Oryctolagus cuniculus: one gene and its partners. The main gene of each other region encodes a partner of the protein of the gene in region 3 in a complex. Links are inferred from orthologs where the notes say so. Each region holds a gene or a part of one and is shown on either strand. Other genes may lie near its edges. The genes, in order: LSM5, PQBP1, TXNL4A, LSM4, LSM7, USP39 and LSM8.

Region 1 (4,053 bases), on a different chromosome or scaffold from region 3:
TAAGCACCACCAAGCCACGGCATGAGTGAAGCAACCGGCAACATTACTAGTTAGGTCTGTAAGCCCTGTCCCACAGAAACAGTTTTAACGTGTCTTACCATTGTTATATTATTTCCATTTAGCAAAATCTGATCTAATTTAGTGATCCTTCTTCCTTCCGGTGTGATTTCACTAAATGAAGTGATAAAACAGAAAGTCAGGATAAATGGTGGTAACCAAAGGCAGCATTTTAGAAACACCTTCTCTCTCTAAAAAGGTAATGTTTGTATAAACGAAAGTTCAGCAATTATAAAGGTGATTTTCAGAGATAAAAGTTATCCACTGGGTAATGTACACTCTTCATCAAAAGCAAGAGTAGACCAATGGATATAAATAAGATCCATAGCCAAGGGGGCTGGCACTGTGGCTCAGCAAGTTAAACTGCTGCCTGCAGTGCTGCATCCCATACAGGCACTGGTTTGAGTCCTGGCTGCTCCACTTCCAGTCCAGCTCCCTGCTGATGTGCCTGGGGAGGCAACAGAGGGTGGACCAAGTGCTTGAACCCCTGAACAGATGTGGGAGACCTGGGGAAAGCTCATGGCTCCTGGCTTCAGCCTGGCCCAGCCCTGGCATTGCAGCCCTTTGGGGGAGTAAACCAGCGAATGGAGGATCTCCCTCCTTCCCTCTCTTTCTTTCTCTCTGTAACCTGGCTTTTGAATAAATAAAGCTTTAAAAAAGATTCACAGCCATGAGACTTATCTTCAAAAAAAAAAAAAAAAAAGGTGGAACCTGCCAAGATCAAATATAAAATATTTAGTAGACTCACTCTTTAACATTTTGTATTACTACTGATTTCTACCCACTAAACTACTATGTAACTAATACTTATCACTTACATTTTACATTATATAGTTAAATGTTTTCATCATCAGGTCCTTGATATGACCTGAGCCTTAAAATCCCTGCACGTTAACATCTGTTACCTTCAAGCTTTGTCTCCACTAATTTCCTAGCAATTCAGCAACAATTACATAACTTTTACAAGCATTAGTAAATAAAAGTTGCCTCTACTTCCATTTTGCTGACTAAACAGTACTTAAAATGTCCTGAATTTGAAAAAGAGCCGAGTTCTGTCATTTTTAGCACTACTCACAATTCAGTGACATCTTCCAATACCATATCTGAAAGGTGGTGTTAAGGAAATAAACACTCCAGGTTGAAACAACTCTGGTTTCTGCTTTCATTCAGTTGTAATGATAATATTTAACACAAAGGCTCATAATAAAAAGGCTGACTGTTGGTAGGAATGTGACCTTCTTCCAGTATACTCACCTCTGAAAACACCATCACAAGTGCCCTGAGATGAACTGACTTTTATCGTTAACACCCAGAAACACACTGTCTACGGTTCTGTTATTAAATAAACAGGAAAAAGCCACAGCACCACGTTTTAAAAGGATACTGACGAAGTCATCGAAGCCAAGAAGGGTGCCAACAATTTCCTTATCACTCTTCATCACAATGTGAATTCTGGATCCTATACATTTATCCACAAGCTCTGCGTGAGCAAAAAGATTATTTTACCCATTCATCATTTTAGCACATACTCGAGTGCACGCTGGCATTTGTTACTTGCCAAATTCAGTGAAAATTAAACTAGGAAGAACATCCCCCTTTGGTAACCTCGGATCTTAAAATGCAAACCTCTGCGCTCCCACTACTTAATCAGAAGCCTTTCCACTTCTCCTTTCTGTGCAGCAATCTATCATGATTGTGGCTTTATCTTTATTCCAGATCACGTGATTAATTTAGGGACACAAACACATCCCCCCAGACTCTTAAGCGCCACGAGCCCGGACACTGTGCTCATTTTCGCCCATCGCTGGATCTTCAGTGGACAGGGACGGGCATTTACGGGGCTTTCCACGAGCCTAATCACTGAAGTCCGTCAACGCAACCACTCCTCGCCGGCTACACAATGTCAGAGGCCGCTGACCGTCGTCGCGGGAGCCTCCTGTCACCTCCTCCCTCGCCAGTGAAGCCCCGCGGTGCTGGGGGCAGCTTCAGCACCTCTGGCCAGCCTGGCACGGGGGGCACAAGGTTTACTTGTCCAGTACTGTCTCCTCCACTGGCTTGTGTACCCTTCGGGAGCGATGGCTGTGGTTTAAGGTCGCTGTGGACTAGCACGCAGGAAGAACACGGGCTCTTACTGAATGGATGGATGAATGAATGAATGAATGGCAAACAGGGCTAGTTTCCAGATTCCTCCTCTAAGGCTCGTTCCACAGCGCGCTGCTTCCCGCTCAACTCCCAGACACACAACAGGGTGAACCCCATCTGGGGATCCCAAATGCCACTCCGGACACGGCGCCGCAGCGCTCCCAACAAACACGGCCGACGGTGCGCTCGCCCAGTGCGGCCCTCTCCCGCCCACGGTTCGTTCCGGGGGAGTCCGAGGAGCTGCCTCCAGGGGCAGGAGCACGTTACATCGCAGCAGCGGCCTGGCGCGCAGGAGCTCGGGAGCCGGCGCGAGCCGCGGAGGGGAAACGCTCGGCCCCACACATAGGCCCGCTACCAGCCAGGGGTGCCTCGGCCGCAACCCCGCGGCCCCCAGTCCTGAACCCCAGCCTCCCGCCCCAGCTCCCTCACAGGAAAACCATTACCTAGCGGCAGCAGCTGCGAGGGGTTCGTAGTAGCGTTAGCCGCCATGGCTACGCCGGAAGTGGCCTGCGTCCATCGACGTTCCACGGTGACTTTAAAAGAGCGCGCCTGCGCCTTTGCCCGCGGCCGGGCAGGCTCGACCAATCGCAGGCCGAGCGGGCGGCCGGCGTGCTCCACGTGGGCGGCGCCCGCGCGCTGCCTTGCTGGGGAGTGGGAGTCCTGGGGTGCTGCCCTGCAGATTCGTTCCCAGGCTTCGGAGAGACGCTGAAGATTGCTAACCTCCTGAAGGAGTTCGTCCTCCGACCGAGAGGACAGCGCATAAGGAAACTTTTGGCTTGTTTTCCCATAAAATTGTCTTTATAAAGACTAGTAAAAATCAGTATTTCCCGCCACCAATTCACTCTTTGACAGAGTTACAGTGAGAGAGACAGAGAGAGGTCTTCCGTCCGCTGGTTCACTCCCCAAATGGCCCCAACGGCCGGAGCTGGGCCGATCCGAAGCCAGGAGCCAGGAGCCTTCCCTGGGTCTCCCACGCCGGTGCAGGGGCCCAAGGACTTGGACCATCTTCCACTGCTATCCCAGGCCATAGCAGAGAGCTGGATCGGAAGAGGAGCATCTGGGAATACAACTGGTGCCCTTATGGGATGCCAGCACTGCAGGCGGAGGATTAACCTAGTGTGCCACAGCACCGGCCCCAAAAACATTCCTTTTCTTGAGGCTTCTGTCCCGGTTGCTCCTCTTCCAGTCCAGCTCTCTGCTGTGGCCAGGGAGTGCAGTGGAGTATGGCCCAAGTGCTTGGGCCCTGCACCAGCATGGGAGACCAGGAGAAGCACCTGGCTCCTGGCTTCAGATCAGCGTGGTGCACCTGCCGCAGTGCGCTGGCAGCAGCGGCCATTAAGGGGTGAACCAACGGATAAAGGAAGACCTTTCTCTGTCTCTCTCTCTCACTGTCCACTCTGCCTGTCAAAAAAAAAAAAAAAAAAAAGTAAAAGAGGGGCCAGCGCTGTGGCGTAGCAGGTAAAGGCTGCCTACAATGCCGACATCCCATATGGACTCCGGTTCAAGACCAACTGCTCCTCTTCCAATCCAGCTCTCTGCTGTGGCCTGGGAAAGCAGTAGAAGATGGCCCAAGTCCTTGGGCCCTGCACCTTTGTGGGAGACCTGGAAGAAGCTCCTGGCTCCTGGGTTCGGATCAGCACAGCTCCAACCCTTGTGGTCATCTGGGGAGTGAACCAGTGGATAGTGCCTCTTCCTCTCTGTAGTTCTGCCTTTCAAATAAATAAGTAAATCTTTTTTTTTCAAAATGGTTTACACATTTTTTTTTAAATGTAAAATTTTGTTTTATACTGAGGATTTATAATAGCTTTTTCCTTTTAACTTGTTGCTACTTTCTTAATTTATCATCCTTGCTGT
Region 2 (4,030 bases), on a different chromosome or scaffold from region 3:
ATATGAATGTGAGCATCCTGAGCAGCATTTCAAGTGCTAGGCCAAAAGCCTGCCTTCTAGCACACTAGGTTTGTAATAGACATCGGTCATCAATAAGGTGACAATAGATGTAGTTTCTAGTGCCTAGCACACTATAGCCCAAAATAGATGCCAGCTTTTCTATTAGTGATAGTAGGTGGAATTAGCAGCCAGCAATATAATAAGCCTATATAAGAAATCCTGTCATTTTATATAAAAAGTTCATGAAAAATACATATTATGGAAAAACTATGCACAGATTTAATTTCTTTTGCACCAAGTTAAACTTACTTTTTAAAATATTTACTTATCTACTTGAGAGAGAGAATGAGCATGAGAGCACTCCTACCCTCTGGTTCACTCCCCAAGTGCCCAGCAGTGAGGCTGATCCTGGGAGCCAGGAAGTCAAACCAGGTCTTCCATGTGGGTGGCAGGAAACCCATTACTTGAGCCATCACCCTGCCTCCTGGGGGTCTGCATTAACAGGAAGCTCAAGGCAGGAGCCAGAGCTGGAAACTGAACCTAGGCACCTGCTAGGTACCCTGACAACTGGCTTAACCACTAAGCCAAACAGCTGTCCCTAAACTCACCTTTTCATTTTTCCACAAACTTTTGGAAACACCCTCAGTGCTAACCATCATGTGCATTTCAGGCATTTTGGGTGGTCTAAAATACATGTTAACTCTGTTTCCAACACAGCACTTCTAAAATACATTCTATCAGTATGGTAAACAAAAGCAACATCCTGGGGCCTGATATTGTGACAAAGTAGGTTAATCATCTGCCTGCAACTTTGTTAAGCATCCACCTGCAGCAACGGCATCCCATATGGGTGCCAGTTCGAGTCCTTGTTGTTCCACTTTTCATCTAGCTCTCTGCTGTGGGCTGGGAAAGCAGAAGATGGCCCAAGTCCTTGGGCCCCTGCACTCGTACAGGAGACCAGGAAGAAGCTCCTGGTTCTTGGCTTTGGATGGGCACGGCTCCAGCCATTGCAGCCATTTGGGGAGTGAACCAGAGGATTGAAGAGTTTTCTCTCTCTCTCTGCCTTTCTGTAACTCTACCTTTCAAATAAATAAATCTTTTCTTTAAAATATTTTTAAAAGATTTTTATTTGAGGCCGGCGCCGCGGCTCAATAGGCTAATCCTCCACCTAGCGGCGCCGGCACACCGGGTTCTAGTCCCGGTCGGGGCGCCGGATTCTGTCCCGGTTGCCCCTCTTCCAGGCCAGCTCTCTGCTGTGGCCCAGGAAGGCAGTGGAGGATGGCCCAAGTCCTTGGGCCCTGCACCCCATGGGAGACCAGGAGGAGCGCCTGGCTCCTGCCATCGGATCGGAGCGGTGCGCAGGCCGCAGCGTGCCGGCCATGGCGGCCATTGGAGGGTGAACCAACGGCAAAGGAAGACCTTTCTCTCTGTCTCTCTCTCACTGTCCACTCTGCCTGTCAAAAAAAAAAAAAAAAGATTTTTATTTGAGTCAGAGTTACAGAGAGGCAGAGGCAGAGAGAGAGATACACAGAGGCAGAAAGAGAGAGAGAGAGAGACAGAGGTCTTCCATCTGCTGGTTCACTCCCCAGATGGCCACAATGGCCAGAGCTGCGCTGATCCAAAACCAGGAGCCAGGAGCTTCTTTCCAGTCTCCCACACGGGTGCAGGGGCCCAAGGACTTGGGCCATCTTCCACTATTTTCCCAGGCCTCAGCAGAGAGCTGGATTGGAAATGGAACAGGCTGCACTTGAACCAGCCCATTTGGGAAGCCGGCACTGCAGATGGCAGCTTTACCCGCTACACCACAGCACCAGCCCCAAATGAGTAAGTCGAAAAAAACAACAACATCCTGGACTTGACACATAGCCTATTAAATACTATGCATTTACCTCCATGTGATTCGTGGAGGCCCGAAATTTGCATCAGTGTTGTGTATTGTTAAGAATGAAATATGCATCTTTTCAACCTCCCCCTCCCCCCACAAACACACACATTGCATGGTTTGCAAAAGGAATGGACATCAGGAATCCTTGCCATGCCACGGCTTAGAGCACAGAAGGTCCACGCTGAGTGTTTAGTGTCCATATCAATGAAAAAAGGGCCTATCAGGCTTGATACATGATACGCCCATCTGCTCTTAGCTCTCTTACCAGGCTCCAGATGTTTGAGGATGCCTCTCTTAGCCAAGCGAGTCTGCAGCGCGACGGGCAGCGGCATAGCGGGTGACAGATCTGGGGACAGACAGACTGATGAGGATTCAAATCTGGATCCCATAACCCAGAGCTCATCCCTCCCGTAGCATGTACTCATCGGACTCTCACCTTCCCAAATACACCAGGAGCTAGCTGGGCGGACTCAACCTATGCGCTAAAACACGAGAGACAAGAGGCTTGCAAATGTCACAAAACTCCTTCCAGCCGCTCACTTACTAGGCCCGGAGCTCCAGGATCCACTTCCTCTCCCGGGCTCCACCCACCGCCAAAGGCGCCAAGCGCAGCTTCAGAAACTGGCTCACCCAACCTCCCTCAAAGACTGCTGGGTGGGAAAAACCAAAGCCCTGGGGTGGGGGAGCGGAATGCAGCCCTTCCTCCAGCTCTGCAAAACCATGCCCCCCTCCCCCTCCCCGCGTTACCAGTACAGTCGGGCAGGTAGAAAGAACAGCCTCCTTCCTCTCGCCACTGCTCTGATCACCAGGACCACACCACTCGTTTCCCCCAAAGCACACAACGGCGTACTCAATACCCGAGCCAAGACGTAACTGGAAGACGCTGGGACTGCAGTGGAAAGATGACGTTATCCTGGGTGTCCAATGAGAAGCGTCCTGCGTTTGACGTGGCGAAGCCACCCAATCGCTGTCCTGGGATAGGCGAAGAGCTAGAGCGCCTGTGGTGCGTTTCCACTGGGGGCGTGGCCCACAGGATTCGGGCCTGACTGTGCCTCCAGACGCCGGCGCCATGGAGGAGTATGCTCGGGAGCCTTGGTACGGCGATGGGCACAGGCATCGGGACTGTTGCTGCCCCAAGACCAGCCATGGGAGGCGGGCGGGGGAGGCACCGGCCGCACAGTGCGGCGTCCCAGATTAGGGAGACTTAGAATCTTCTCGCCTTCCGCTCCCTGTACTTCCTTCCTTTCGGGGTTCTTTAAAAGGGGCCACAACTGTGTGCCCAGAGAAGGGGCGGTACAGGACGAACCACGCCATGTTGTCCCTGGCTTTGTGGCTCCTGTTCCTCTTTGTTAGCGAGCAGAGACGCTGGTCCAGTCCATTCCAGCGTGGGTGGAGGGTGGCACGCATGGTTTTTCCCAGGTCGCTTGTGTGAATCGGGGCGGGGCATGCGTGAACCTATTGTGGGTGAGGAGGGGTGCTGGATTTTCCCAACGGGCCTCTGGGTTTTTCTCAGTTGTGCTTGGTTTAAGAGGAGGAGGGGACAAGGCTTGGTTGGATGCCACTGTCCCAGAAGGGGCTGTCACCTCGTTTTTAATAACTAGCCAGTTAACACTTCCGTAACCCTTACTGAAATGCGCCAACTCTACATGCCTCAGTTCATTTAATATTTGCTAGTAAAGTAATTGGCTGATTCCTTGGATGCCTGCAAAAGGTGATCAAGGCAGAGACTATTATTTTTCCCCTTTTGCCCCATTTCTCGATTTCATCAGGGAAAAAGAATGACAGAACTAGCTCGTTGTTATCTGAAGTGTTTCTTCTCACTCACAAACTTGCCATTCCAGTGACTGGTTTCTCCCACTTGGAGAGAGTCCAGGGAGGGGAGGGGCTCCCATTAACCCCAACCTTCCCTTCCGGTTTTTCAGCCCATGGCGAATTGTGGATGATTGCGGTGGAGCCTTCACCATGGGTGTCATCGGCGGCGGAGTCTTCCAGGCCATCAAGGGTTTCCGCAACGCCCCTGTTGTGAGTCCTGGCCCACCGGGTGGTGTGGGGGTCAGCAGCCTTGCCCACATAGGACGCTACTCTAAAAGCTGCTTGGAGCTGCCAGGCCAATGCACTTAACTTCTTCTGGTCCCTATTCACCTA
Region 3 (3,216 bases):
CCGCTTTAAGCCGGGAGGTTGGCGATGCTGAGAAGCAACTGACTGAAGGACCACGTTGACTCTGGGGGCCTCTGAGCTTTCAGTGGGGTGTTGGAGAACACATGGAGTCCAGATATTCCCAGGAGTAGAGAGGAGTGTGTAATGAGCCCTCTGTTCCTGTCCTCGGCTGCAGTGGTTATTAATACGTTGCCATTCTCATGTTGTCTAGCCCTGATTATGCTGCAGCATTTAAAGCAAATCCCAGTTACCACATTATCCCATCTGTAAGTTAGAGTTGGATGTTAGAGTGACTTTGGAAAGAAATGTGGGTGGGTGCCTGTCTCCCATGGCTGCCAGAAAACGTCACAGGCCGGGTCTGCTCACAGTGTGGAGACCTGACATCCAGAGTCAGGGGCAGGGGTGTGCTCCCAGGACCTGGGAGAGAGCCTCCTCCACGGGGTGGAACCCACCCTGTCCTCCTTGGCCCCACAGCTTGTGCGCAGCACTTGGTGATGGGGGCCCACCTGCTGTTCCTGGAGAAGTCACACGCTCGGCATTGAGGTTGGACCTTATATGTAGCAGTGTGGACACAGCCCTGCTCAACACACGGAAGTGGTGTAAGCTTTCCGGAGGGTGTTGGCAGTATTTGTTTGAGCCTTACAGATGTCATATTCCATGGTCCAGAGGTTCTCTTGGGAATTCATCCTTAGGAAATGATGGAGTGTGTAAACAGTATAAGGGTACAGTTCACAGGTAGCATTAGTGTTAATGGAACATTTGATTGAGTCATGAAAAATCAGAAACAAAGTAACAGGATAGTAACAACATGGCCACTGGTGAAATAAGATGTAGAAGCTTGTGTTTCTGGAAGATGGGTAATTTGTTAAGGGAATGATCACAATGAAAGCAGGATACGTAATCTTGTAGTCTGACAACTGTATGATCACATTTCATAGAAACAGTACACATAGAATCTTTAAATTTTCTAGTTGATTTAAAAAAAAAGATTTATTTATTTGAAAGAGAGAGATCTTCCATCCACTGGTCCACTCCCCAGTTTTCCACAACGGCCAGGGGCTGGACCAAGCCAAAGCCAGGAGCTTCTTCCAGGTCTCCCACGTGGGTGCAGGGTCCCAAGCACTTGGGCCATCTGCTGCTGCTTTCCCAGCCATTAGCAGGGAGCTGGATCAGGAGTGGAGCAGCCAGGACTCGAACTGATGCCCATTTGGGATGCCGGTGTTGCTGGTGGTGGCTTTACCAGCTACACCACAGCACTGTCCCATAGAATTTTTTTTAACATGCCCTGAAAGTGGGGGGAAATGTGGCAAAAGAATTAGAGAAAAGAGGTAGAAGAGAAATGTAACAGAGGAATTAGACCAGTTACCTGCGGGTATTGAGGCTGGAGGTGATTTTACTTTCTTTATATTTTTCTGTTTTCTCTAAATATATTCTCTGATGAACTTGCAGTTAAAGAAAAAAATCACGGAAAATGTGTACAGTATCACCTGGGGTCCTGTTGGTACTGGCAGATGTTCAGTCCGGGACGGCTGGAAGGTCGTGGACGGCTGAGGTCTGCACACGTGTGGTTTAAAGCAGTGGCTCAGCATGCAAGCCCAGTTGTGGCAGCTCAGTGGGCTTTCGGGATCTCCCGTGAGTGCCACACTGTGAAGGCACTGTGAGAGACGCCAGAGTGAATCGTCAGAAGCCAGCTCCTCACGGTGTTGTGTGGTTTCCTTGTGTGCTAGCTTACTGGGCAGGAAGTGCTGGAGAATTCATTTGAAAATTGTCCAGTTATGACACAGAGTCTTGTTTTTTTAATGTGCTTTAACATAATGAGAGCCAAATGGATCTGTAATTTTAGTTTTTCTTAATTTCTTTTTCTCGTAGGTTAAAAATTTTGCGGTTATTTATCTTGTGGACATCACAGAAGTGCCCGACTTCAACAAGATGTACGAGCTGTACGACCCGTGCACGGTCATGTTTTTCTTCAGGTATGTCTGACCTCACGCACGGGTGGTCTGAGCTTGGCCGTGATCAGCAGTCCTGCAGGAGCAAGCCAGTTATGTGGTCACGTGGCCAGGGGATCCCTGTGAGTCTTCAGTAATTGTCAAAGTACAGTTCCAGTTTCCGTGTTTACTCAGTAACAAGTTCCCCTCTTGAAGTAAAGTGGCCAGGAAGGCCAGCAGGGTGCCATTGAAATAGAGAAGTTACTCTCACTGCCGGCGTCACTCACCAGTTACCACGTCAGCACCTTTGTTTAGTGTCCTTATCAGTTGGCTTTGCTTAAAGCATGTTTTCTCCGCTCTGAGTTCTGTTGAGTTATTTGGAAACAGCTTGGCCAGCAGCAGTGAGAGCACCGGCCACACTCTGGGATGGGCGCCTCCCAAGGGGAGCAGAGCCGGGGTGTGTGCTCTGTGCCCGCAGGCCTGCTGGTGAGGCTTTGGGCAGGGTCAGCTGCAGGACTCGGTCGCACGAGGCAGAACCGCGGCTGGGCTGCTCTCCGCTGTGGCTCATCCGGCTCCTTGTGCTCGTGGGTCTGCGGTCGCTGTGCCCTGCTTGGCTGGGAAGGCGCTGGCCGGTCGAGTCACTCTCACAGTCTCAGTTGGACCTGAAGCCCTGCTCTGGGCACTGGAGTGGCTCAGGTGGTCCAGCGCAGTCTGTGTGTCACATCAGCTAAGACTGGGAGCCCGCCTGGCCTCTCCAGTGCTCACAGGCGTGGGGTCTCAGTGTGCGCCCACCAGGAGTGTGCTGCCTGCAGGCGCCTCTGCCGCAGCCTCACGTCCCTCGGGCCGGCTGAGGCTCTGCAGACACCACTGCACCTGTGCGGCCCTGAGAGACCGAGAGGGAAGGGAGTCCACTGCCCCACATCCTGGATGGGCCCAGGAAACAGAACTGGGAGGGAGGCGCCGATCCACGGCCCGGCAGACTGGTGCCTGTACCCAAGTTTCCCTGCCTCATGAGCCGTGTCTGCCTCTGGGTCCTTTGTTCCTGGTTCCTGCGGTAGCCCTCTCGGCCGTCCCCAGTGTTAGAGTCGGGATGCCCCACGAGCAGGGAGGGGTTCCTGGCTCACCCCTTTCGCTTGTGACTGGGGTCTGCCACCCTTGGTCTTGCCTGGTTTCAGCGTATTTGCCATCTGCAGAGTCTGAGGGTTTATTTTCCTTTTTAAAATATTTATGTATTTGTTGGAAAGGCAGATGATAAAAGAGGAGAGATCTTTCATCCACTGGTTTATTCTCC
Region 4 (4,083 bases), on a different chromosome or scaffold from region 3:
GAACATTCCAGAACACACGCAGGCCCGGGCCGAGCGGGGACGGCTCCACGCAGGGCCCATAGGCCGCGCCAAGACTTCAGGTCTACGCAAGGCCCGCTCTGCTCATTTTTACCAATAACCGCGCGGATTTACAGGGGTGTGCGCTGGGCGTCCTGGTCAGGGCGGCTGCGTCCCAGGCTGGGGGCCCCCGGGTAGGGCCCGCTCAGCTCCCCGCGCATGCGCGCCCTGGCTGGGAGCCCCGGGATGGCGCTCCGGGCTCTGGGGAGTGACTGCGCACGTGGGACCTCTCTCCCTCCCATAAAGTAAATAAATCACGCGCCTGGCTGGATGAGCCCAGCTGAGGTGCAGATATGACCGCATTCAGAAAGTTCACGGAGGAGCCTGGGGCCTGCAGGGCGCCCGTATCTCTGCCTTTCAAACAACTAAAGGCCGGGCCGAAGCCAGGGCCTCCATCCGGGTCTCCCGCGTGGGCGGTGGGGGCGGGGGCCCAGCGCGGGGCCCTCCCCTCCCCGCTGCCTCCCAGGCCCTCCGCAGGGAGCCGGTGCTCCCGGGATGCTGCGCCTGCGGGGGGCTCCTGGGCCACCCCCTGCCATGGTCTGGGGCCCTGGCCTGTGTGCGGAAGCGCAGGGACCGCGTCCGTCCCAGGGCAGCCCCCCGCCCCAGGGGAGCCGGCGGGCGGACAGCTGGGGGCGCTGTGGAGCTGAGCCCCGGCTCTGACGCAGCTCCTGCGCGGGGCACAGCTGAAGATGACCCAGTGCTCCGGTCACCGGGCCAGGGTGGGGTGGGCGTGACCTGTCCAGGAGGGACCCCCTCCGGGTCTGCCAGGGGCCGCGCGGGCGTCAGAGGACCTGAGTCTGCTCCAACCGGCAGGAACCCCCGCCCCACGCAAGGCGGCTCCGCCAGTGGGCGATGGCCTGCGCCCCCCAGCCTCCTGCGTGAGCTAGGAGGAGACCCCCCCCCCGCCGCGGGCCCTCCCCAGCAGCGCCCCTGGGGGAGGGGAGGCCGGGGGCAGCAGGAAGCCAGGCCCAAGCCCACTTCCTGCCCCGGCTTCCTGGAGGCCGGGCTCAGGAGGAAGAAGGGGCCACGTGGAGAGGGGGCGGCGGTGGGGGCGGGGCGGCCCCTGCTTGTCATCTGGATGCCGTGTGTCGCCAGCCACGCTGGGGCGCAGGGACACAGGGCCTCACGCTGGCTGGGGGTGGGGCTTCTCTCCCCGCCACAGGCACCTGGGCGCTCGCCCCGGCCCGTGACCCCGGCAGGTGGCAGCCACAGCCCCGGGGCCGCCTCCCTCCGCCCCCTGTCACCTCCCTGGGCCAGGCCCAGCTAATGGGCACCCTGGGGCGCGCGGCTGTTTATTTCATTATAGGCTGCAGCCGGCGTCTAATTATCGCGTGTGTTTATTACCTGTCTCCCCGGCTAGACTGGAAAACCCGCAGTGGGCGTGGAGGCTGCCCCCGCGGGAGGGCGCGCGGGCGCGGGGGCCAGGGTAAATATTTGCAGGAGGTTAAGGCAGCACCACCCCGGGCCCGGCGGCCGCCAAGGAAAGGGAGGAGCGGGAGCCACAGGTCCAAGGGGAGGAACTAGGAGCGCCCGCGCGGAGGGGCAGGCGCAGCCCAGGGCGCTTCGCTTCCCCGCAGACCGGCTAGGGACACCCGCGCCCATCCCGAGTCCCGGCTGCTCCACTTCCCGCCCAGCTCGCCGCTAACGCGCCTGGGAAAACAGTGGAAGATGGCCCAAGCGCTCGGGCCCCTGCACCTGCGTGGGAGACCCGGACGGAGCTCCTTGGGGCCCTGCACCTGCGCGGGAGACCCGGATGGAGCTCCTTGGGGCCCTGCACCTGCGTGGGAGACGCGGACGGAGCTCCTTGGGGCCGTGCACCTGCGTGGGAGACCCGGACGGAGCGCCTGGGGGGGCCGGCACCTGCGTGGGAGACCCGGGTGCAGCTCCTGGCCTGGCTCTGCCCCAGCCCCGAGCCGTCTGGGGCTTTTCTGCACCTGCCTTTCCCTCTCTTTCCAGTGCGTAAAAACCAAAGACAAAGACGACACCCAAGGGCTCCTAACTCGGGGCGACCCTCCGTGGGCGCCCCCACCCCAGGCCCCGCCCTGACCACAGGACTCCTGCACCCCTGGGCCAGGAAACTCGGCAGCAGGCGGAAGCTGGGGACTCCCAGGGGCAGTGCCCGCCAGCCGTGGTGGCCAGCCCCGCCGTCAGGCGTGCAGCGGGCGCCGGCCACCGGGCCCCGGCTCTGAGAAACGCACGGCCCCGCTTTGGGGACCCTGCCCTGGGCCGGAAGCCCCCAGCGGCACCCACGAGCCACAGTGCCCGACGGCGGGGTCCCCGCCCCCTCCGGCCTCAGTTTCCCCGTCTGGAAAGTGGACAGCGCGCAGCTGACCTGCTGAGCCTTGATTAACGGCGGCCCAGCCGTGAACCTCGGAGAACAACGTACTGGTGCCCCGGGCGAGGCACCTGCCGTCTCGGGTCAGTTTCCCCGGCTCGGGGCTGGGGGCGGGACTGGACGCTGCGCCCGCACGTCCGGAGCGCACCGCCCCGACCCCCACGGCCCAACCCGAAGGCCGCCGACGGCCGCGTGCCCACCCCCAGCCGCACCCCGCCTCCCGGTCAGACCCCGACGGCGCCCGGCCCTCACCATGGTGTCGGCGGGGACCGGGCTCCCCGGCCACTTCCGCCGCCGCCGCCGCCGATCACGCTGCCGCCGGTCGCCGCCCCGCCGCGCGCCACAAGCCTGAAAAGGAGTGGCAGGAGCGGGAGCCAGTCACCGCGGGGCGACGGGGACGCATAACCAATCCCCGGACAGAAGGGCGGGTCTTCGAAGCACGAGGGGGTGGGACTAACTTCCCGCCAGAAGAATCCGCGACGGAGCCGTAAAGTGCCGTGGCGAGTGATGCAAAAGGGGGCGGAGCAGCGCGCGCCGGCTGCATTGTGGGTAGCTGCGCATGCGCAGAGAGGAGCCGGTCCTGTCGCCCGGGCTCCGCGGTGTGGGCCGGGCCGTGATGGCGCCGGGTTTGCGTCTCGGTCTCGTTCTTGTGCTTGGTTGGAAGTGGGGCGGCCGGGACTCGAACCGGCGGCCCTTAGCGATGCTGGCGCAGCGCAGTCCCCGAACTAGCAGGTGACGTCAATGTGACGTCAGGTGTTTGCGGACTCGAGAGATCGGTTCCCCAGGTGAGCGTGTGGCCCGGATTTGAGGACGCCCGCGGACCAGATCCTAGTTTACTGGGTTCGAGTCCCGGCCCCGGCCACATCCCAGGGCCCGGGTTCGAGCCCCGGCCCCTGCCACATCCAAGGGCCCGGGTTCGAGCCCCGGCCCCTGCCACATCCAAGGGCCCGGGTTCGAGTCCCGGCCCTGGCCACATCTGAGCACCCGGGTTCGAAACCCGGCCCCGGCCCAGGCCATATCCGAGCGCCCTGGGTTCAAGTCCCGGTTCCATCCACATCTCAGCACCCGGGTTCAAGCCCCGGCCCTGCTGGACTGCGCACGCGGACGCTGGCCAGCAGCAGCCGTGGCTCACTGCTTGGGCCCCCGGCGACCCGGAAGGAGTTCCCAGCTCCTGGCTTTGACCTCACCTAGTGGAAGATTCTCCCCCGTCCCTGTGTCTTGCAAATAAACAAAAATAAAGTTTTTAAAGAATAAAAGGTGTGAAGAGAAAGCACACAGGAGAGAGTTTGTGGATTCTGCTTTTTTATTTTTGCCCCCAGATAACCTTAGCTTTCAAGCCCCCTCCCCCGCAGGCCCCGCGGCCCCGCCCAGGGCAGAGCCTGCCCCTCTCTGGAGTCTCCGGGCGCCGGGAGCGGGAGCGCACAGGCCCGGCCCCTCCTACGCGGGGGCCTGGGGCGCTGAAACCCAGGGTCTGCTGCGGCAGAGGCCCGGCCGGCGTAAGCTGGTTCGACGCTGGTTCGAGTCCCCTGGTTCGAGCCCCGGCTCTGCTCTGATGCCGCCAAGGCACCTGGGAGGCGGCGGGTAGGGGCTCTGCCTGTCAAATGACGGAGGGGGGTTGGGGGGAGAGCTTCTGCCCGCTGGTTCCTCCCCAGACGGCCGGTCCGGGCCAGGCTCACGCTGGGTCTCGCAGG
Region 5 (4,240 bases), on a different chromosome or scaffold from region 3:
GAGGGGACCTGACTCCTGGGGGGGAGCAGAGGGGACCCTAACTCCAGGTGGGGGGCAGAGGGGACCCAGATCCGGACAGGGGGCGGGGGGACCCTGACTCCAGGCAGGGGGAGCAAAGGAGACCCGGATCCGGGTGGGGGGGCAGAGGGGACCCTAACTCCAGGCAGGGGGGGAGTGGAGGGGACCCGGATCCAGGCAGGGGGGCAGAGGGGACCTGACTCCTGGGGGGGAGCAGAGGGACCCCGACCCCAGGTGGGGGGCAGAGGGGACCCAGATCCGGACGGGGGGGAGCGGAGGGGACCCGGATCCGGGCAGGGGGGCAGAGGGGACCTGACTCCTGGGGGGGAGCAGAGGGACCCTGACCCCAGGTGGGGGGCAGAGGGGACCCCGACTCCTGGTGGGGGGAGTGGAGGGGACCCGGATCCGGGCGGGGGGCAGGGGGTACCCCCACTCCGGGGGCGGCGCTGGGCTCCAGCCTGCGCAGCCGCGAGGGGCCCCACACATCCGCGGGGGAGGCAGGCGGGCGCGGGGGTGTCGGGGGCAGCCTCCCCGCAGCGGCCCTAACTCCACCCCGCACCCCGCACCGCGGCGTCCCGGGAGCAGAGCCTGCTCTCCTGGGCCGGACACGGCCTCCGGGACTCCCAGGACAAAGTCCCCGGCCCAGCCCCACGCCCACCCGAGGGGCCTCCCGCGCGGGGCGCCGGCTCGGCCTCCGGGCACCCGCTGAGACCGGGGGGCGACGCGCCGCCAGGGACCCCGCTCCTGGGGCCGCGCAAACCGGGACGCGGCGGCTGTCCGCGCCCCGCAACCTCCCGCGCCTGCAGGGGTGCGACCCCCCCATGCAAGGTCACCGAGCAAACGCCGGCGCGGGGGCCGGGGGGCCCGGGGCGCTGCCCCGCACCGGGGGACGCCTTCCCGCCAGCCCTGGGGGCAGGGGCGCGCGTGCCGCACTGGGGGAAACTGAGGCTCGGAGCGCGGTGGGCGCCACAGCGGCAGGGGAGACCCCCGAGACGGACGCACGGGACCCATCCAGGGCCTGCGGGTGGGGAGGACGCGGGACTGCGGACCCGGCCAGAGGCCGCGGCGGGCGAGGACGGCCGCGGCGGGGGCGGCACAGCCCCGCAAGGTCACGGCAGGGCCCCGGCCCCGCGGCGGGGGACGCGGGGGGACCGGGGTCCCGGAGGCGGCGGCCCCAGGGCGGGCGGAGCGCGGCGCCACGCGGGGCCCGGGGCTGCCGGGGCAGAGCAGCCGCGGCCCGCGGGGCTGTCAGGGCCGGCGCAGCCTCACCTGGGCCGCGAAAAGCAGCGAGGCCGCCGCGAGCCGCGCCAGCGCCAGCGCCGCCGCCATGTCGGCCGGTCCAGCCGCAGCCGTCGGCAGATGTTTCCCGGCAACACCCCCGGCGGCGCCTGCGCGCATGCGCGGCGCATGCGCACGCGCGCCCGGGGTCAAAGGCCGCGGGGCGGCGCCTGCGCGGGGCGGCGCGGGGCGGGAAGATGGCGGTGAGCGCGCGGCGGAGCCGGGGCGGGGAGCTTGAAGTCGGGCCGCGCCCCCTGCCTCACGCGCTCTGCTTGCCCCGCAGGACAAAGAGAAGAAGAAGAAGGAGAGCATCTTGGACCTGTCCAAGTACATCGACAAGACGATCCGGGTGAAGTTCCAGGGAGGCCGCGAAGGTGAGGCCGCCCCCTCCCCGCCGCCGGCCCCGTGCGTTCGCGGGTCGGGAGGCGGCGGGCGCGGGGGCCAGCGGAGGCGGCCCCGCAGCTCTGCCCGCGCGCGGCCCCGTCTCCCCAGCGCGCTGCCGCCCCGCACCGGGGCCTCTCCGCGGGCGCGGCCCCCCGCCAGGGACCCCCTGCTTGTGCCGGTGCCCGGGTCTGCGGTATCACCAGCGCCCGCCAGGGGGCGCGCCTGCACGCGTGGGAACCGCGGCCCTAGAAACGGAAATGCATTTATTTCGGAAAGGCGCGAGAACTCCCCTCTCTGGTTCGCAGCCCGGGTAGGACCAGGAGCTGCATCCGGGTCTCCCGCGTGGGGGCAGGGTCCCCAGGGTGCGATAGGGGCGCGGGTTCGAGTCCCGGCTGCTCCACTTCCGGTCCAGCTCCCTGCTGTGGCCTGGGAGAGCAGGTGCACGAGGGCCCAGGTGCTGGGGGCCGCTGCACCTGCGTGGGAGACCCGGATGGAGCTCCTGGCTCCTCGCTCCGGATCGGCGCAGCTCCGGCCGTTGAGGCCGTCTCGGGAGTGACCCAGCGGCGGGAGGGCCTCTCCCCGCCACGCTGGCCCCGGTAGGGGAGTGGGGCCGGCCCCCCAGGACACTCACCAGCCCACCGAGCCCACGTGTCACAAGCTGTCTGCTGTGGCTGTGGGCCGGGGTCGCCGTGTTCCGCCCCGGGACTCGCCTGCCGCCCGCGCCGGGTCAGGCGGGGGGCCTGGGTCGCTGACCCCGCCCACCCACTCCCCTGTGGGGTCGGGGCCCCAGCGCGCAGGTGCGGCAGCGGCCTGAGGTTGCTGGAGCCGCAACCCGAATAGCAGTGACCACCGCGGCGTCCCGCGCTGCGCACTGGCTCCCCCACCCAGGGCCGCGCTGCCCTGCCGTCCCAGCCCGCGCCGGCTCCCGCGCTGCCCCTCTGGGCGGGCGGGCTGGACCTCACGCCCCCCCCCCCCGCCCCAGCCAGCGGCATCCTCAAGGGCTTCGACCCCCTGCTCAACCTCGTGCTGGACGGCACCATCGAACACATGCGAGGTGAGCCGGTCCGCCCCCCGGGGACGCCCAGGCCGTGCGGGAGCCGGGCGGTGAGGGTGGGTCCCGCGCGGGGTTGCGGTCTTCCCGCCCCGCCCCGCCCCTGACGGCAGCCCTGCGCCTGCTGTGCCCGGCCCCGGCCCCGGCCCTGGCCCTGTCCCTGTCCCTGTCCGTGCGGGGTGCCGGCCGCCGCCCGCCGCCCGCCTGCCTCAGCCCTCCCCGCCCGCAGATCCCGACGACCAGTACAAGCTGACGGAGGACACGCGGCAGCTGGGCCTGGTGGTGTGCAGGGGCACCTCGGTGGTGCTCATCTGCCCGCAGGACGGCATGGAGGCCATCCCGAACCCCTTCGTGCAGCAGCAGGACGCCTAGGCCGGCGGCCGGCCTCAGCCCCGCCCCCGGGACCGCCTACCCGCCTGGGTCGGCCCCGCCCCGCCCCCGGGACCCTGCCCGCCTGGGTCAGCCCCGCCCCGGCACCGCCCCCGCCACCTCGGCCCCGCCCCCGGGACCCTGCCCGCCTGGGTCAGCCCCGGCCCCGCCCCCGCCAGCTCGGCCCCGCCCCCGGGACCGCCTACCCGCCTGGGTCGGCACCGCCCCGCCCCCGGGACCCTGCCCGCCGGGGTCAGCCCCGCCCCCGCTCAGTAAAGCCGCAGCCCCTCTGCCCGCTCGCCTCGCTTTCTCAGCCCCTGGCCCCGGGACCCCTCCCCGTCCGCCGCCCCCTCGCACCCTCCCTCCTGGGCGCTGGGGCACGCGGGAGGCGCGCGCTGCGCTGGAGCCCGGGCCCCTGGCTCACGGGGCTCACCGGGCTCTGCGGCCCGCGGGCGCCAGCTGCTCCGGGCCCCGCACCTGCTCCCAGCCATCTGGCCTGGGCTCCCTGTCAGAGGCCATCTCAGGGCCGGGGCCGTGCACTGCGGGGTGGGGGGGGCGCCTCACAACTGAGGGACTGGACGGCGGATGAGGGGAGCACCCCCCGTTTCTGAGCCCCCGCAGCCCCGGCTCGGCCTAGCCCCGCCTCCTGCCGTGGCTCTGCTCTGTGAGCGCTGGGGCGCAGCGGGCGAAGCCGCCGCCTGTGGTCCCGCTTCCCACGTGGGCGCGGGTTCGAGTCCCAGCTGCTCCACTTCCGATCAGCTCCCTGCCGTGGCCTGGGAGAGCAGTGGACGATGGACCAATGGTGGACCCCTGCACCCGCGTGGGAGACCCGGATGGAGCTCCTGGCTCCGGATCGGCGCAGCTCCGGCCAATGCGGCCATCTGGGGGGTGACCCAGCGGATGGAGGACCTCTCTCTCTGTCTCTGCCTCTCTGTAACTCTGCCTTTCGGATAAATAAACCACTTTAAGAAAACTGGGCGCCTTGGGGAGAAGGGCCTACAGTGGGCTCGGGCCGGCACGTGTGGTCAGCCGCCGGGTGGGTCTTGCAGAGCTGGGTGCCTCCGGGCCCCCCCTGGCTCGCTCTGGCCTCCAGGAGTTGGCAGCGACGGGGGCTGGGGGACGGGGCTGGGGTCTCCCGGT
Region 6 (4,236 bases), on a different chromosome or scaffold from region 3:
CGTGGAAGGGAAGAGCGCGTAGGCTGGAGGAGACGGCGGGGCGGGTGGCCTCACCTCGATGTCGCGGCAGGTACACCTGCAGGTCGGGCTTGCGGGGCCGCGTCGGCGCAGGCGTGTGCCGCCTCCTCACCTTCTCCTTGGCCGCCTGCTTCACCTTCTTGTCGTAGTCGTCCCTGCGGGGAGCCGAGCGGGAGTCAGGGACAGCCGGCCGGGCCAGGCCAAGGGTGGCGGTGGCGCGGGGCGGGGAGGTACCGGGCGATCTGGTTCCGTCGGATGTGGTGCACGAAGCCGTGGCTCATGTCCAGCCGCCCGCCAGGCTTGCAGCAGAGCCTGGGCCCGGGATCCCGGGCCGCCTCCATCTGGAGCCCTGGGCGCAGAGTCGCCGCCACCTCAACGGCCCCAACGGCCGCCCTCCCGCCGGTGGAGGCCCGAGCCAGCCCGCGCTCAGCTTCCGGCCGGGAGTCCCGACTTCCGGCCGCGGGAGGGCTGGCGGGACCGAGCGCCGCGGCGCGCGGAGTTCGCGGCGCCGACAGGGTGGAGGCGGGGCTGTTTTGTGTCATCAAAAGGAAACAAGGACTTCGGCTTACAGTTGGTACATCAAAAAATTTCAGAAAAAAAGGCACATCTACTAACGCCTGTGAACACTACTCGCACCAGCTGCGTGAACTGAGCTGACCCCGCCGTGCCTCAGTTTCCTCACCTGTAAATGGGAACACGGAGAGCACCTTTCTCAAATAAGCTGTGTAGGCGACCAGGTGCTGGGGCAGGCTACGGCTCCGCGAAGACTCGCCCGGCCCTCCCCTGCCCTGCTCTAGTCGCTCAGTACCAGCCCCAGGGTTTTTGAGCTCCGGACCGCCCAGGACAGGCTCACTCGGGTTGAGGCCGGACAGGACCCCTAGATCGTGGCGATGTCACGGTGCATCCACGTGGGAACGGAGCGAACCGAGCGCGTTAAACGTGCAGGTCCTTGTGGGTCAGCTATACCCCCAATGTAAACAAACCAACAAGCAAACAAGGTAATAGCAGGCTCCTAGGTTAGAGCTTTATTGGCCTTAGCATTTTGCTGACAGCTAGAACCCTCTAGTTGTGGAATCAGGGTTGCCACGTTGCCGCACGGGCTTTATCGCCTTGTTTTCCCGTGCAGGGCCGTCAGTCTCAGAGGAGCCAGGACTGGGGGAGACGACATCCCGAGGCGCTAAGTATCTCGTGCGAGTTATAAAACCGTATAGGCAGGAAAAAGTTCAGGTTATTTTAGGCTGAAAATGATAGGTAAAGAGGAAATTAGCCCACAAAACGTTCCCAGAAGCGCACGGAGCCTAAGGATGCCAGGAATGAAGCGACTCCGCCCACAATTTTCTGTAGCGCCATAGATTTGTCCCCGTTGGCGACCCGTAGGGAGCTTTGCGGGCTCCACCGGCCCCGCCCCTGATTGGCTGCGCGTCGCGCATTTGCGCGTGCCTGGCGCCTGCGCTGGACGATCTCTCCGGTAGTGGAGATGTCTGCCCGGTCCAAGCGGGAGTCCCGTGGTTCCACCCGCGGGAAGCGCGAGTCCGAGTCCCGAAGCAGCTCGGGTCGTGTCAAGCGAGAGCGAGATCGGGAGCGGGAGCCGGAGGCGGCGAGCTCCCGCGGCAGCCCGGTTCGCGTGAAGCGGGAGGTCGAGCCGGCGAGCGCGCGCGAGGCCTCGGCGGCCGCCGTCCCGGTGGTGCGGATTAAACGGGAGCGCGATGCGGACGAGGACTCGGAGCCCGAGCGGGAGGTGCGAGGTGCGCGAGGCCGGGCTGGGCAGGGCGCGAGCCCCACCTTCGCCATCTCCGTTTTGTCTTTGACTTTCTGCTACTTCCCCGCCTGGATGGGGGAGGGGGATACAGATGTTCCGATGAAGGCAGTGTTAGTAACCGTAGTTATTTGAGTATTTCTGATAGCAGCAGCAGCAACACTTTTCCCATAAGCCCTCAGCTGTAGGATCCTGCTGTAATTTGCAGTCTGGTGTTGGGAGACTTCTCCATCGGCTTCCCGCGTCTCTGCGCACACAGCGACCAGAGGCTGGCTCGTCAAAGGTGTTCCTATAGTGAACAGTCTGGGAGGGCAGAGGTGCCGTTTCCCAGTAGAGCGAAGGAGGTGGCCAGCACACAGCCCCGTTTAAAAAAGGAGTTAGGATCTCCAGCCTCAGGATTCTGCCCCTCTCGGGCAGCGCACTGTGCGTGGGTTCTTAATGTTGCCTTGTGAGAGCTGACGAAGGGAATGGATAGCAAGGCTGTCTTTTGGCTGCTGCTATTACTGCTGTAACAGACTCCTTTGTTTCAGACCCAATAGTTGGGGGTCTTCCATTAGCATCCACGAAACTGCCAGACTAACTCCCTAGCCTGCAAATAGAGTAAAACCTTATAGTTCTTGGCAAGTGTTAGATTGAAGGGCATTCATTTATGCTATTTAAATTGTTCGTGGATGTTACATTCAGTTTATCTTGTAACCTGTGATATGTTTCATATCTCTCATGCTTCATGGAATTCTTTATGTAATAGATTAGTGGATTTTTGTTTATACGTGTACCAAATATATTCTCCTAGTTTGAGGCTTATTCCACTAGCAGACATTTTTTTGGTTGCTGTTGCTCTCTGAAAGGAGTTTATGTTAATGGGGAGCTCATCTTGATGGATTGCGTGCTAGTGTGTCTTCAGTTGTGTCTTCCTTCTGTGTTTGGCCTTGAGTACTGGTTTCTCATTTTCAAAGCCTGTGGTGATTTTCCTTTTAGCGAAGAATGGCCGCGTGGATTCTGAGGACCGGAGGAGCCGCCACTGCCCGTACCTGGATACCATTAACAGGTCAGTAGGGTAAAGACACCAGAGGTAGCAGAACAGTGGAGGAGCCAGTCTTTTAGCTTAGTGGTTAAGACACAGGTTAAGGGGCTGGTGTTGTGGTGTGGCAGATAAAGCCCTGATTTCATGCTGGGATCCTAAATGGGCAGCTCAACTTCTGATCCAGCTCCCATATGGGATGCCGGTACTGCAGGCAGCGGGTCTACCGCTGCATCACAGCGCCGGCCCCTTCAATTAATTTTTTTAAGGGGCCGGCGCTGTGGCTAAGCAGCTTAACATCCTGGCCTGGAGTGCCGGCATCCCATATGGACACCGGTTTGAGACCCTACTGCTCCACTTCCAGTCCAGCTCTCTGCCATGGCCTGGGAAAGCAGTAGAAAATGGCCCAAGTGCTTGGGCCCCTGCACCCATGTGGGAGATCCGGAGGAAGCTCCTGGCTCCTGGCTTCTGATCAACGCAGCTCTGGCTGTTGCGGCCAATTGGGGAGTGAACCACTGGATGGAGGACCTCTCTTTCTCTGCCTCTCCTCTCTCTGTGTAACTGACTTTCAAATAAATAAAAAATAAATAAATAAAATTTTTAAACATTTTTTTGGCCTAATCTTTGTTTGAAAGGCAAAGAAAGGGAGACAGAGAGAGAGAGAGAGAGAGAGTGAGAGAGTGAGAGAGAGGTATTTTCTACCTGTTGATTCATTCCTTAAATGCCCACAACTAGGGCTGGCCGGGCCAAAGTCAGGAGCTCAGTTGGTGTCTCCCGCATGGGTGTACTTGAGCTGTTTGTCATGTGTTGCTTCCCAGGGTTTGAATTAGCAGGAAGCTGGAATTGGAAGTAGAGCCGGGACTCAAACTCAGTGTTCTGATATGGCTGTGAGCGACCCACGTGATGTCTTAACTGCTGTACCAAGTATCTGCTCCAATGTTCATAAACAATTTCTGTTTGTTTATTTGAGAGGCAGAGAGTGCCCGTGTGTAGGTTAACTCCTTAAATGCCTGGCTGGGAGCCAGGGACTCAGTCCAGGTCACCCACATGGGTGGTAGGGACCTAGCTACTTGAGCCTTTAGTAGTAAAGGCTGCCTCCCAGGATGTACATTAACAGGAAGCTAGGATCCAGAGTGGAGCCAGGACTTGAACTTGTTCTTCATTTAAACTGGTAGAATACGTGTTGTAGAAACGTCAGAGAGCATGTTGTTTAAGGGTGGGCATATGCATGAAGAGCTCTTAGCTCATGTTGAGTTTGTGTGTTGTAATAATTTGTAGTAGCAAATTTAAGTATTTATTGAGTACCGATTACATACGCGGTACTTTTCTGGGTGCCTAGGACTCAGTAGGAAGATAACAAAAATTTTCTTGAAAGCAGAAATAGTCACCTCGTTATGCTATTTTTTTCACTGAGTCGGAGGTGGCATGTTGGATACCTTCC
Region 7 (2,616 bases), on a different chromosome or scaffold from region 3:
CTTATCAACTGTGGCTCCTTAAGAATGCTAACATAAAAGGGGACTTCAAAAAGTTTGTAGAAATTACTTTCTTGCTAACATACCAGGGACAGCAATGGACAATGCCCCTAGTAGTTGGGTTACTGTTGCTCTTACGGGAGACCACGATGGAGTCCCTGCTTCCTGGCTTCAGCCTGGCCAAGAGCTGGCTATTGAGGCCATTTGGGAAGTGAACCAGTGGATGAATTCTCTGTGTCTCTCCCTCTCTCTCCATCACTCTCTATCTTTCAAATAAATAAACCTTAAAAAAAAAAAAAAAAAACCTGTGGAAACACAAAATCAAAAATATATTTTGGTGCAAAAAAGCCACTGGCAATCCACACTTTCTTCATAATACAAATTTTTCCACAAACTTTTTGTGCCCTAAAATTCTGCACCAAAATAAATTCACTTTTAATACCTTTTCCAAAAATTTTTTGAAATCTCATCCAGAGTTACAGGTAGAGGGAGGAGGAAAGAGGGAAAGAGAAAAGGAGAGGGAGAAGGAGAGAGGGAGGGAGATCTTCCATCCACGGGTTTACTCTTCAAATGGCTGCAATGGTCTGGGCTGGGTCAGGCCAAAGCCAGGAGCCAAAAACTTCTTCCAGGTCTTCCACACGGGTATAGGGACCAAAGCAGTTGGGTTATCCTCTGCTGCTTTCCCAGGAGCATTAGCAAGGAGTTGGATCAGAAGTGGAGCAGACGGGATTGGAACCCTTATGGGATGCTGGCGCCGCAGGCAGCAGCTTTACCTATGCCACAGCGCCAGCACTCTCCACTTCACCGCTTGTATAATTTTAAGATGTCTAAAAAGGACGTATTTTACTTACACATTGTCACCTCTTACGATGTATAACCCTAGTACCACTTGTTCTACTCCCTGTGATGAGCTGAATACTCGTTCATGGCTTTCATCCAAAATCAAATTAATGGTCTGGTCAAAGCCTTTCAGTGTTCCCTGTAAAAACATAAAGGACAAAAATACAAATATTTTATTTTACTTGAATGTGTATATTCAACCTTACAACCATTTAGTCATCAACAGACAGAAGTTGTCTATTTTATGTAATAAGTCCACTATCAAATAAACTGACTTCTTTTAAACAAGGGAGATTTGAAGGAAAACAATATATATATATATATATAGTTGTCTATTTTATGTAATAAGTCCACTGTCAAACTGACTTCTTTTAAACAAGGGAGATTTGAAGGAAAACAATATATATATATATATACATATATATTTAAAAATAAGGAAGAAACATACAGACCAGCTACAGCAAAGTAACACACTGTATGCTACAAACCAGGACTAGGTACTGTGCCCAACACACTGCACATACTATATCAACTAATCTGTACCCTTTGAGTTCATACTGTAATATCCCTATCTCAAAAAAGAAAAACTAAGGCACTTTCTCAAGGTCTCATGGGTGGTAAGTATCAGAACGAAGACCTGAAACCACAAAAGGCTAGCACCAACGCCAGACCAAATGAAGTATACTATTCTATCCTAACCAACTAAATTAATTTGCTGCTTTTTCAGAGTCAAATCAGTCATATTAATATATGCAAATTTCAGCCGGTGCCGCGGCTCACTAGGTTAATCCTCCGCCTGTGGCGCCGGCACACCGGGTTCTAGTTCTGGTCGGGGTGCCGGATTCTGTCCCGGTTGCCCCTCTTCCAGGCCAGCTCTCTGCTGTGGCCCGGGAGTGCAGTGGAGGATGGCCCAAGTGCTTGGGCCCTGCACCCCATGGGAGACCAGGAGAAGCACCTGGTTCCTGCCATCGGGTCAGCGTGGTGCACCGGCCACTGGCCGCGGCGGCCATTGGAGGGAGGACCAACGGCAAAAGGAAGACCTTTCTCTCTGTCTCTCTCACTGTCCACTCTGCCTGTCAAAAAAAAAAAAAATGCAAATTTCAATTGGTAATAACAGCTAACACTTAATAAACAATTACTAGTTGCCAGTATTCTGAGCCTCGTGTATTTATTATTATTAAATTCTCTATAGGTACAACTAGGCTTTGGATAAAGGAAAACAAAGATACAATACAATTCAGTAACTCAAAAGCTAATTTCCTTTCTGAAGAAACATCAGCTTATAATGGTTTGTGTTGGTTAAATCTCAAGCTCACTATAAATGATTGCATGTTCTCAAAGTCATATACATAAAGTCAGAATGACAGAGAAACCCAGGACCTAGAATTTGGAAGCAAGATAATGGAGTATCTGGCTATACTAGTTAGCAAGTGGTAGTTATCACAAGCATTCACCCATAATCTCTTATGTAACTACTCATTCTATGAAGTGAATTATCAATCAATACAGAACTACAGGGGAGACATATGGCCTAGTGGTTAAGATGCCCATGTTCCACATCAGAGTACCTCAGTTTGATACCCAGCTCCTGACTCCAGCTTCCTGCTAATGTGGACCCTGGCAAGAAGCACATGATGGTTCAATTAAGTGGGTTCCTGCCATCCACACAGAACTGGATTGAGTTCCCTGCTCCTGCCCTGGCCCAGCATTGGTTGTTACAGGCATTTGAGGAGTGAACTAGCAATATGGGAGCTCTCTGTTTGTCTCTGCCTCCCCAAA

What was found.
Region 1: TXNL4A (region 3) and LSM5 share a complex: the UniProt entries of both Homo sapiens proteins name them as parts of the precatalytic spliceosome. The link is inferred for Oryctolagus cuniculus from reciprocal best matches to the Homo sapiens genes TXNL4A and LSM5.
Region 2: the proteins of TXNL4A (region 3) and PQBP1 are in contact, whole or in part, in a crystal structure (PDB 4BWQ), measured with the Homo sapiens proteins. The link is inferred for Oryctolagus cuniculus from reciprocal best matches to the Homo sapiens genes TXNL4A and PQBP1. Residues at the interface, in NP_006692.1 of Homo sapiens: Gly11, Trp12, Val14, Asp15, Ile18, Asp68, Phe69, Met72, Tyr73, Glu74, Met82, Phe84, Asn87, His89, Met91, Gly97, Asn98, Asn99, Asn100, Lys101, Leu129; in NP_001027553.1 of Homo sapiens: Gln241, Gln242, Arg243, Pro244, Tyr245, Pro246, Ser247, Pro248, Gly249, Val251, Leu252, Ala254, Asn255.
Region 4: TXNL4A (region 3) and LSM4 share a complex: the UniProt entries of both Homo sapiens proteins name them as parts of the precatalytic spliceosome. The link is inferred for Oryctolagus cuniculus from reciprocal best matches to the Homo sapiens genes TXNL4A and LSM4.
Region 5: TXNL4A (region 3) and LSM7 share a complex: the UniProt entries of both Homo sapiens proteins name them as parts of the precatalytic spliceosome. The link is inferred for Oryctolagus cuniculus from reciprocal best matches to the Homo sapiens genes TXNL4A and LSM7.
Region 6: TXNL4A (region 3) and USP39 share a complex: the UniProt entries of both Homo sapiens proteins name them as parts of the U4/U6-U5 tri-snRNP complex. The link is inferred for Oryctolagus cuniculus from reciprocal best matches to the Homo sapiens genes TXNL4A and USP39.
Region 7: TXNL4A (region 3) and LSM8 share a complex: the UniProt entries of both Homo sapiens proteins name them as parts of the precatalytic spliceosome. The link is inferred for Oryctolagus cuniculus from reciprocal best matches to the Homo sapiens genes TXNL4A and LSM8.

Annotation. Positions count from the first base shown.
Region 1 is NC_091447.1:23,533,065-23,537,117, forward strand, and holds the start of LSM5 (U6 snRNA-associated Sm-like protein LSm5), read right to left. Parts: upstream 2,801-4,053; 5' UTR 2,689-2,800; coding exon 2,643-2,688; intron 1,538-2,642; coding exon 1,442-1,537; intron 1,161-1,441; coding exon 1,133-1,160; intron 172-1,132; coding exon 99-171; intron 1-98. UniProt on the Homo sapiens protein: Plays a role in pre-mRNA splicing as component of the U4/U6-U5 tri-snRNP complex that is involved in spliceosome assembly, and as component of the precatalytic spliceosome (spliceosome B complex).
Region 2 is NC_091453.1:34,073,571-34,077,600, reverse strand, and holds the start of PQBP1 (polyglutamine-binding protein 1), read right to left. Parts: upstream 2,801-4,030; 5' UTR 2,633-2,800; intron 2,523-2,632; exon of another isoform or gene 2,430-2,522; intron 2,368-2,429; exon of another isoform or gene 2,322-2,367; intron 2,232-2,321; 5' UTR 2,218-2,231; coding exon 2,151-2,217; intron 1-2,150. Other genes in the region: TIMM17B (mitochondrial import inner membrane translocase subunit Tim17-B), read left to right, coding at 2,955-2,980, 3,808-3,907. UniProt on the Homo sapiens protein: Intrinsically disordered protein that acts as a scaffold, and which is involved in different processes, such as pre-mRNA splicing, transcription regulation, innate immunity and neuron development.
Region 3 is NC_091441.1:294,906-298,121, forward strand, and holds part of TXNL4A (thioredoxin-like protein 4A), read left to right. Parts: intron 1-1,866; coding exon 1,867-1,970; intron 1,971-3,216. UniProt on the Homo sapiens protein: Plays a role in pre-mRNA splicing as component of the U5 snRNP and U4/U6-U5 tri-snRNP complexes that are involved in spliceosome assembly, and as component of the precatalytic spliceosome (spliceosome B complex).
Region 4 is NC_091447.1:65,595,513-65,599,595, forward strand, and holds the start of LSM4 (U6 snRNA-associated Sm-like protein LSm4), read right to left. Parts: upstream 2,801-4,083; 5' UTR 2,648-2,800; coding exon 2,645-2,647; intron 289-2,644; exon of another isoform or gene 113-288; intron 1-112. UniProt on the Homo sapiens protein: Plays a role in pre-mRNA splicing as component of the U4/U6-U5 tri-snRNP complex that is involved in spliceosome assembly, and as component of the precatalytic spliceosome (spliceosome B complex).
Region 5 is NC_091447.1:59,144,838-59,149,077, reverse strand, and holds LSM7 (U6 snRNA-associated Sm-like protein LSm7), read left to right. Parts: upstream 1-1,440; 5' UTR 1,441-1,493; coding exon 1,494-1,499; intron 1,500-1,579; coding exon 1,580-1,670; intron 1,671-2,662; coding exon 2,663-2,734; intron 2,735-2,960; coding exon 2,961-3,103; 3' UTR 3,104-3,147; intron 3,148-3,249; 3' UTR 3,250-4,073; downstream 4,074-4,240. Other genes in the region: SPPL2B (signal peptide peptidase-like 2B), read right to left, coding at 1,288-1,416. UniProt on the Homo sapiens protein: Plays a role in pre-mRNA splicing as component of the U4/U6-U5 tri-snRNP complex that is involved in spliceosome assembly, and as component of the precatalytic spliceosome (spliceosome B complex).
Region 6 is NC_091433.1:117,039,207-117,043,442, reverse strand, and holds the start of USP39 (ubiquitin carboxyl-terminal hydrolase 39), read left to right. Parts: upstream 1-1,436; 5' UTR 1,437-1,495; coding exon 1,496-1,763; intron 1,764-2,752; coding exon 2,753-2,822; intron 2,823-4,236. Other genes in the region: C2H2orf68 (UPF0561 protein C2orf68 homolog), read right to left, coding at 55-173, 253-359.
Region 7 is NC_091434.1:153,851,217-153,853,832, reverse strand, and holds part of LSM8 (LSM8 homolog, U6 small nuclear RNA associated), read right to left. Parts: intron 977-2,616; coding exon 849-976; intron 1-848. UniProt on the Homo sapiens protein: Plays a role in pre-mRNA splicing as component of the U4/U6-U5 tri-snRNP complex that is involved in spliceosome assembly, and as component of the precatalytic spliceosome (spliceosome B complex).